Xenopus tropicalis: one gene and its partner. Each later gene encodes a partner of the first gene's protein in a complex. Links are inferred from orthologs where the notes say so. Each region holds a gene or a part of one and is shown on either strand. Other genes may lie near its edges. The genes, in order: nhp2 and nop10.

Region 1 (4,579 bases):
ACACCAGTAGTTTAAAGGCCCATTAGGATAGATTTGTGAAGAATCCCTATTTTTCTCCAATAGTACAGGTATGGGACCCATTATACAGAATGCTCAGGACCTGGGGGTTCTTGGATAAGGGATCTTTCCGTAATTTGGATCTCCATACCTTAAGTGTACTAAAAGATTATTTACTGTATATACTCGAGTATAAGCCAATCCGAATATAAGCCGAGGTACCTAATTTTACCTAAGAAACCTGGAAAAACTTATTGACTCGAGTATAAGCCTAGGGTGGGAAATGCAGCAGCTACTGCTAAGTTTTTTTTTTTTTTTTTTTTTTAACAGTCAGGCAAGTTTGGGAAGGCTAAGGAAGCTGCCATACTAAGTATCAAGTACTTGCCATCCTGCTGTGTGTGCTCCCATCGCAATGCAGCATGTCTCCCAGCACAACTGACAGCAAAGCTTCTATTTGTGAGAGTGCTCAGCCAGAATGGCAGTAGCTTCTGTGGAACTACACATCCCAGGAGGCCATTAATATGTAGGCAGGAGGGGAACATGAGCCGAGCCAGGAGCAAGATAACACTTCCCAAGGGCAGTTATACCCTCACTGTAGCCACATAGTCAGGTGTGTCCCCGATATATATATATAATTTGATATGACAAATCTATCATATCAAATTATATATGAATTATTGGCATGTCTGCTCCCAGGACTCTCCCTCTACCCTGCCATGGTTATGCTTCTGTATATGATTTTTTATCTGGAAACCTGGTATCCCCCATTTTTTTTTTTTTTTTTGAAACAGCTATAAGACCCCTTAGTGCTTTCTAAAAATTCGTTTTTTTAATTAAAATAATAACACCATGTTCTAGCAACTTGTAGGGGGTCTCCTGTACTTCATATCTTCACAAGCAAATCCTTATTACATGTGGAGTGGGCGGAGCTAGAAGTGATCAAGTTACACAGGGCGACCCGCACAGCGCCGCAGTCTCTTCCGGGGCACTGAGTGAGCTAGCCGGTTGCTGGAGCTCACAGCCCCCTCTGCCTGCAGCGGCCGGAGAGGGAGGTACGGGGGGGGGGCGGGATTTGCGAGCGTACGCACAGTGGGCGTGCGTGCACAACGAATTACAAAACCATATACTCGAGTATAAGCCGAGGATGACTTTTTCAGCACATTTTTGGCAACCACTGGTACACACTGAAATGAACTGTCAGTTTAGAAGAAAAGTGAAGGAAAAAGAATACTCACTGATTTGGATGGAACGTATGAATAAGGAATGCCGCGATCCTCACACATTACAGGGATGTGACAATACACCTCAATGGGAAGGGTGTCACCAGCCATTACTACAATCCTAAAAATATTCAGAAGTCAGAACTGTACAGTAAGCTACTATTACCGTGGAGGTTAATTGATGTTTCAGAAAAGGATAAGTGTTCTTACCCTTTCTCTCCTTTGTTGATGAACTTTTGTACTTCCTTCACTCCTCTGCGGATATTCTTTTGTTTTATGGCTGAAAGGGAAAATAGAGGGATCTTTAGGATACATCCATATTGTAGTAATTCTTCCAAAAACCTCTTGAACGGAATGGCATTGTTTATGCTTCTGATTATTACAGTGTGTACATATTTCAGAAAGCGGTGAATTCAAAAACCTCTATTACTGGCAGATTAAGTAAAAGGCATATCTATCATTTAATGGACAAGTATTTATGGTCTTATTGATGAAATGTTTAAGAAAGCAAGTCCTGCATTTTTTGCAGTTGTCCCTTGCAGGCAACCAGAGAGCCCTGCTGTGAGCTCTCTAAATGCTCTAGGCCAGAGATCCCCAACCTTTAATACTCGTGAGCCACATTCAAATGGAAAAAGTGTTGGGGAGCAACACAAGCATGGAAAATGGGGGTGCAAATAAGAGCTATAATTGGCTATTTGGTAGCCCCTATGTGGACTGGTAGCCTATAGAAGGCCCTGTTTGGCTTTACACTGGGTTTTATGCAACCAAAACTTGCCCCCACGCCAGAAATTAAAAAATAAGCACCTGCTTTGAGGCCACTGGGAGCAACATCTAAGGGGTTGGAGAGCAACATATTGCTCATGAACCACTGGTTGGGGATCACTGCTCTAGGCCCTCAGATGGCAGACCTGTGGTGAATCTTAGTGACACTGGTTCACAATAAAATGGAGGGGGGGGTCAAGTGTTCACAAGGGCTCCATAACAGTGCAGGCAGTGCTTTATATGAAGCCACAGTTGGTGGCAGGGTTTATGAATGGGGAAACCTCTCAAACATCCCTTTACAGTGACAGGAAGCAATTAAGCTTTGGCTGACTTTCAGCCGTTATAGTTCTGCTTATTAGGAATTATTGCATATTTTTCATTCATGTTAGCACTAGATTTTAGAAATTATGCCTAAAGCTCACTTTTAAAAGAACTGAACATATTCCTGTGAATTGAGTGTCACTAGCTAAAAGCCTCTACTGAATCCCTGCACAGGATTTCAGCGGAAGTCGAAGTTTATAATCGCTGTACATCGCAGTGACTGTATCCACATTTGTGCGCAAGAAGCCGGACTGACTGCTATCGCTTTTAAAACACATTTCAGACAAGATGCTCCAACAACAATTCACGGGATGTGTTAAACTCTAATTACAGCCCCACCATTCGCCTGAAAGAGCCAGCGGCCATTGAAGTAAGCATGGTACCTTTCTTTACACATTTGTATAGTTTCTTGGTGAGTTTGCGGCCCGCCAGCGGCTTAGCGATGGGGTTTAGATACGCCAACAGCTCATCGTAAGACTTGCTCGGCGTTTCGGGCACTTCCTCCGATTCCTCCTTCTTTGCTTTAGTCATTTCGCTAGATCACAGACGAGCAGGCTCAACGCACAACCACGTGTAACCGCGCACACTCGCACAACTGAGCACTTCCGTGTCCGGTGGGAGGGGCATATGCAAAGCAATCTGTGACTTGCGCTCTAGTCTCTGCGTAAGGAAAACTTCCGGCCATGAATATGCGGTATTGCAGAGAATATTGACTTTACTGTGGTGTATAGTTTGTATGTATGGTTAATATCTATAGTAGAAAGGAAATAAATTAATCATTGGTTAGAGAGATAGTTTCTTTCCAAGGGAAGGACCTAAAGCCCTCTAGTGGTGAGGTAGATACAAGTACAGGAAAGAGTCCAATCTGCAATGATAACGATAAATAATACCCATAATACCGGGACCCTCGTTGCGCTTTAGGAGTAAGGTCCTAAATAACGATAAACTCCAGTCTCTTTTGATATATCCAGCTAATTCTCATCCTGAGAAACACCATAACGTTTTTGTCTGGTAAACAAAATTGCCATTAAAGGGGGTTGTTCACCTTTCTGTTAACTCTTAGTATAATGTAGAGCAGTGATCCCCAACCAGTGGTTCATGAGCAACATGTTGCTCCCTAACCCCTTGGATGTTGCTCCCAGTGGCCTCAAAGCAGGTGCTTATTTATGAGTTTATGGTTAGGAGCCAAGGTTTTGTTGCATAAAACCCAGTGTAATTGGCAAACAGAGCCTTCTGTAGGCTTCCAGTCAACATAGGGGCTATCAAATAGCCAATTATAGCTCTCATTGGCACCTCCGGGAACTTTTTTCATGCTTGTGTTGCTCTCCAAAATTTTTTCCATTTGAATGTGGCTCACGGGTATAAAAGGTTGGGGAACCCTGATGTAGAGTGTAATATTCTCAGACAATTTGCAACTAGTCTTCATTTTTATTCTTTCTAGTTTTTTAGTTTCACTTTTTGTTCAGCAGCAATTTGGTTGCTAGGGTCCAAATTATCTTAGCAACCAGGGAGCTGTTTGAATGACAAATGATAAATGAACAGGAGAGGGCCTGAATAGAAAAATGAGGAATAAAAAGTAACAATAAAAATAAAACTGGAGCCTCACAGAGCAATAGTCTTTTGGCTGCCGGGGTCAGTGACCCCAATTTGAAAGCTGCAAAGAATAAAGGCCCCCATACACGGGCCGGTCCCTTGGACCGATTCGGCAGCTAATCGGCCTGTGTGTGGGCAGAAACGAGCAGCCTGGCCAACCGATATCTGGCCTGAAATTGGCCAGATATCGATCGGCCAGGTTAGAAAATCCAGTCGGCTCGGGGACCGCATGGGCTCGTTGATGCGGTCCCCGAACCGACTGCCCCATGGCCACAAATGTAATCCGATCGTTTGTAGCCACTGTACCCTATAAACATATAAATGGGCAGGGGCAGTTTTAAAGATAATATTCATTCATAAGATTTTGTGAAATCAAACATCCCCTGCTTAGCTCTTTTACTGCTACTACCTGTCAGGCCCAATACCGGGATAAAAACTAGTCAGTTTATGCAAGAGTAATTCTCATCAAGTCTAAGGACTTTCTTACCTGTAATTGCCAGTACATGGATAGAAACTAGTCAGTTTATTAAGGACATTTTCTACCTTAGTAATAAACATAGTAGTAGTAGTAAGTTGGGTTGAAAAAAGACAAACGTCCATCACGTTCAACCATAATGCCTATATATAACCTGCCTAACTGCTAGTTGATCCAGCGGAAGGCAAAAAAACCCCATCTGAAGCCTCTT
Region 2 (4,615 bases), on another chromosome or scaffold:
TTGTGCAATCTGTGCTGATTTTCCCAAAGATGCTCTGATTCTTCAGTGATGCCATACTGGATTCAAAGAGCAAGAAAGTCATATACAGTGGATATAAAAAGTCTACACACCTCTGGTAAAATGTCAGGTTCCTGTGCTGTACAAAAATGACACAAAGATAAATCATTTCAGAACTTTTTCCACCTTTAATGTGACCTATAAACTGTACCACTCAATTGAAAAACAAACTGTAATCTTTTAGGTGAAGGGAAGAAAACCAAAAAAACTAAAATAATGTGGTTGCATAAGTGTGCACACCCTCTTCTAACTGGGGATGTAGCTGTGTTCAGAATTAAGCAATCACATTCAAAATCATGTTAAATAGTCAGCATACACCTGCCATCATTTAAAGTGCCTCCGATTAACCCCAAATAAAGTTCAGCTGCTCTACTTGGTCTTTCCTGACATTTTTTTAGTCGCATCCCACAGCAAAAGCCATGGTCCCCAGAGAGCTTCCAAAGCATCAGAGGGATCTCATTGTTAAAAGATATCAGTAAAGACAGTCATCATCAAGTGGAGAAAATTTGGCACAGCAGTGACATTACCAAGAACTGGACGTCCCTCCAAAATTGATGAAAAGACGAGAAGAAAACTGGTCAGGGAGGCTACCAAGAGGCACTTACTGGCACCCCAGAAACTTTTTTCATGCTTGTGTTGCTCCCCAACACTTTTTCCATTTGAATGTGGCTCACGGGTATAAGAGGTTGGGTATTCCCTTTCCCCAACTATACTTTCTAACTCCAACCTCTTACTGGAGTGGCTCTTCTCCCGATATGCCCACCTACGGGTGGCCGATATTGGGCCAAACCAATTAAAATGGCGGGTATAGAAGCTGTCAGTTCGGGGGCCACATCAACCAGCCAATGTGGTCTCTGATCAATGGAAAACCCAAACCTGCCCAATCGAGATCAGAAGACGGTCGGGGAGGCCCGACATTCGTGCCCATACACAGGCAGATGAGCTGCCAAATCCTGATATCATGAGCTAAAATCAGCCCGTGCATGGCCACCTTTAGACTCTTTCTAAAAGATACACCATGTAACTACTACTCTTTTTAGACCATTTTAACTCCATCCCCACCAACCTACTAGTAAACACCACCTCAAACCTCCCCTGCCTGCATGTTCTAACACTGTCAGATCCCGTCTCTATGCTAACTCCTTCTAAGCATCCCCTCCTTCCTGCTGCAATCCCTTTACACCCATTCCAACACGCTGGTAGGTCATAATCTTTTTTGATATTTTTATTCTTTGCAGAAGTGTCTCGCATCATAGGTACGTGTTCTAACCGCTAAACTCACAAGTGAGCTGATTGGTCAGCGCCCTCAAGCTGCCTCAGGAACGACTGAGAATGATACCCAGATTTACTGACTAGTTAGAACAAAGGCCAGACAACACAAATAAGGATTTGGGGCGCATGAATAACAAAACAAAACAAAAACAAGTAGGCTGTTACTGCCCGTAGTTACATAACAAACGGAGAATTTCGCTCTCGAAAATAAGGCGAAATATCAACACGAGAGCGGGATAGGGGGTGTGGAGAAGGAACTACTGAAGTGACGAACTTTACCGGAACAGGAAGTAGTTGTGCGGAAGTAGTATCGTCACCCTGTTGAGAAAAACGTGGGGCGCTTGGTGAGTGTGGAACCTGCGTGTGTTTCTGTTCGCTGTAGATTTGCGCGTGTCGCTGCCTGACGCTAGAGGATGTTTCTGCAGTTTTATCTAAACGAGCAGGGGGAGCGTGTATACACAATGAAGGTGAGCAATGGAACTATAAACCAGCATGTGATGGGCTGATATTTTCCTTTGACCTATACTATTCCTTAGTACCTGGAGGGTCGCACAAATGGGCAGTGCAACATGTTTTAATGCCTATAGAGAAAGTTAAGCGTTTAGTTCCAATTAAATTGAAAGAAAATTGTTTGCTTAAGTCCATCTGGTGGCCACGATTAAAGCATTTTATATAGGGATTATAGGAAAAGTATAGTGTAAAAATAAAACTGGGTAAATAGGTAGGCTGTGCGAAATAAAAAATATTTCTAATATAGTAAGGCAAAAATCTAATATATAAAGGCTGGAGTGAGTGGATGTCTTAAGACATAAATGTCAAACCCAAGGCCCGGGGGCCAAATCCGGCCCACCTGGCTGTTTTATGTGGCCCTTGGTGAGGGTGTCTGACCATCCAGCCTGATCAATTTCCATTTTCCTCACATAGTAACTAAGACTAAGGGGTATATTTATCATGCTGTGTGGAGTGAAGTATTAGGGCTCTAGCACACGAGGAGATTTGTCGCCTGCGTTTTTTCCCCCCTGGCGCTTTGGCGACAAGTCGCCACGACAATACACAAAGAGATTTCATGAGAGTTGAGCTCCAGGCGATCTGCTACCCATGGTACACTCAACAGTTACCCCTCTCATGTTTACTCAAGTCGCTCAGAAAAGGGTCTGTACGATTTGAAACAGCAGGCGATTTGAAGTAGCCTCGTATGTTTTGACGCTGGCGATTTCCATTTGTTTAGCATTGGCGTCTTGTCTTTCATCTTGTCGCCAAATCGCTCTTTTAAAAATCGCCGGTGACAAATCTCCTCGTGTGCCAGAGCCCTTAACAGTAATGTTGCCCAAGGCATCCAATCAGTAATCAGATTTCAACAGTAGCAAAGCATCTATTGGCTGCTATGAGCAACATCACTGGTAATGTCTTACTCCACTTTTTACACATTGTGATAAATATTCCCCTTAGTATCTTACTAAGTATATTAATAAAAAATTTGGCATGCGACTTAACCTGTTTTTTAGATTTCGGCCCCCTTATGTGATTGAGTTTGACACCCCTGTCTTAAGATAATAGCCAGAACACTACTTTCTGCTCTCTAAGCTGTTAGCCATCAATAACCAATCAGTGACTTGAGGGGTGACTTGTCCGATATGGGACATAACTGTTCAGTTAGTTTGTGAGCATGCAGGTCAGATTCATAAGCAAACTAACTGAACAGTTATGTCCCAGATCCAACCCCCCTCAAGTCACTGACTGGTAACAGCTTAAGGTCCCCATACACTATAAGACATCGCCAAGCGAGCAGATTTTCACCTGATATCCCCACCTACGGGTGGGCGATATCGGGTAGCAAGTAGCTTTAAAGAAAAATAATCGATCGTTTGGCCCTGGGGCCAAATGATCGGATTACATTTGCAGCCATGGGGCAGTCGGTTTGGGGACTGCATCAACGAGCCGATGCGGTCCCCGATCCGACTGGATTTTATAACTTGGCCGATCGATATCTGGCCAATTTCAGGCCAGATATCGGTCGGGCAGGCCGCTCGTTTCTGCCCCTACACGGGCCGATTAGCTGCCGAATCGGTCCAAGGGACCCATATCGGCAGCTTCTATCGGCTCGTGTATGGGGGCCTTTAGAGAGCTGTAAAGGAGGAAGTTATGTTAAACATCTGTTTACTCCAGCCTTTATAGATTACATTTTTGGCTAACTAACCATATTGAAAATGTTTTATTTTGCACAGCCTGTCTATTTAACCACTTTTATTTTTACACTGAACTGTTCCTTTAAAGGCTATGTCCAACTTTGTGTTAACATTTATTTAAGCCCCTATTGCCAAAAAAATATTTTGCCAATAGGAATTTAACAAATTGTTTCCTTTAAAATTTTCAATGAAGTCAGGGCTTATGTGATGTTGAGTCCTGCACTGTCTCACTGGAGGAGGGTTTGCCGGCCCCTACGTCCACTACTTTTTACAGAGGTTGGCAGCGCATAACAGGAAGAAGCAGGAGCAGCTCCAGTACTGTGCATGCCTTGTTTCCTCCTTGTATTGCATAAATTGTATTGCCAGCCAGTCTGATTCATATAGGGCTAATGAGTGAAGATATGCGCTGCGTTAAACCTTCACAAGGGGAATCTGAAACCAACACAGAACCTGATTGCAAGTGGTAACTTTGTTAAAAAGTGTAGCGGAAATTTTTTTTATGAAGAAATATTTATTGTCAGAATATTTATTTTGGTAACGGGCTTGTGTGAATCCCCAGTTATGAAGTTATGTTCAGTCTGTTTTCACATTGCAGCTTAGAATCCTGCATATAAGGTTATTGCACATGTGCAATCACTCAGACCTCTTTCCAACAGCCTGCTTGTGTTGTGATCAATGGTCAAATAATCGAATCAGACCAATATCACCCACCTCAAGGTGGGATTCTTTACATGTATGGCCAGCTTAAGTGAAGAAATAGTCATAGTACACATCATGATCAAGATCGTTGACCACCTTATATGTACTATAAATCTGCCCTTAACTTAGTGTTCCATTGTTGTTCTTATCGTGCAAGTTGCAAGTAAACAAGCTATGCAACATAGAAGGAAAGGGACTTTTAAATGTGAATCTGATGGACTTAAAAACATTACGCAATAAGACTCCTGACTATGGAACCAAAGCTACAGCTTTGGTCCATCTTTCCCATCAGATTCATTGAATCACATTGATTGGATAATGAATGCTTATAGAGACCAGTGATTCATTTCCTTGCTCTTTTGGTCTGACTATCTGATGAATGTTTAGTGTGCTTGAAGTTC

The links.
Region 2: nhp2 (region 1) and nop10 share a complex: the UniProt entries of both Homo sapiens proteins name them as parts of the H/ACA small nucleolar ribonucleoprotein (H/ACA snoRNP) complex. The link is inferred for Xenopus tropicalis from reciprocal best matches to the Homo sapiens genes NHP2 and NOP10.

Annotation. Positions count from the first base shown.
Region 1 is NC_030679.2:47,807,041-47,811,619, forward strand, and holds the start of nhp2 (H/ACA ribonucleoprotein complex subunit 2-like protein), read right to left. Parts: upstream 2,891-4,579; 5' UTR 2,832-2,890; coding exon 2,684-2,831; intron 1,498-2,683; coding exon 1,428-1,497; intron 1,339-1,427; coding exon 1,233-1,338; intron 1-1,232. UniProt on the Homo sapiens protein: Required for ribosome biogenesis and telomere maintenance. Part of the H/ACA small nucleolar ribonucleoprotein (H/ACA snoRNP) complex, which catalyzes pseudouridylation of rRNA.
Region 2 is NC_030677.2:142,941,761-142,946,375, forward strand, and holds the start of nop10 (H/ACA ribonucleoprotein complex subunit 3), read left to right. Parts: upstream 1-1,700; 5' UTR 1,701-1,742; coding exon 1,743-1,796; intron 1,797-4,615. UniProt on the Homo sapiens protein: Required for ribosome biogenesis and telomere maintenance. Part of the H/ACA small nucleolar ribonucleoprotein (H/ACA snoRNP) complex, which catalyzes pseudouridylation of rRNA.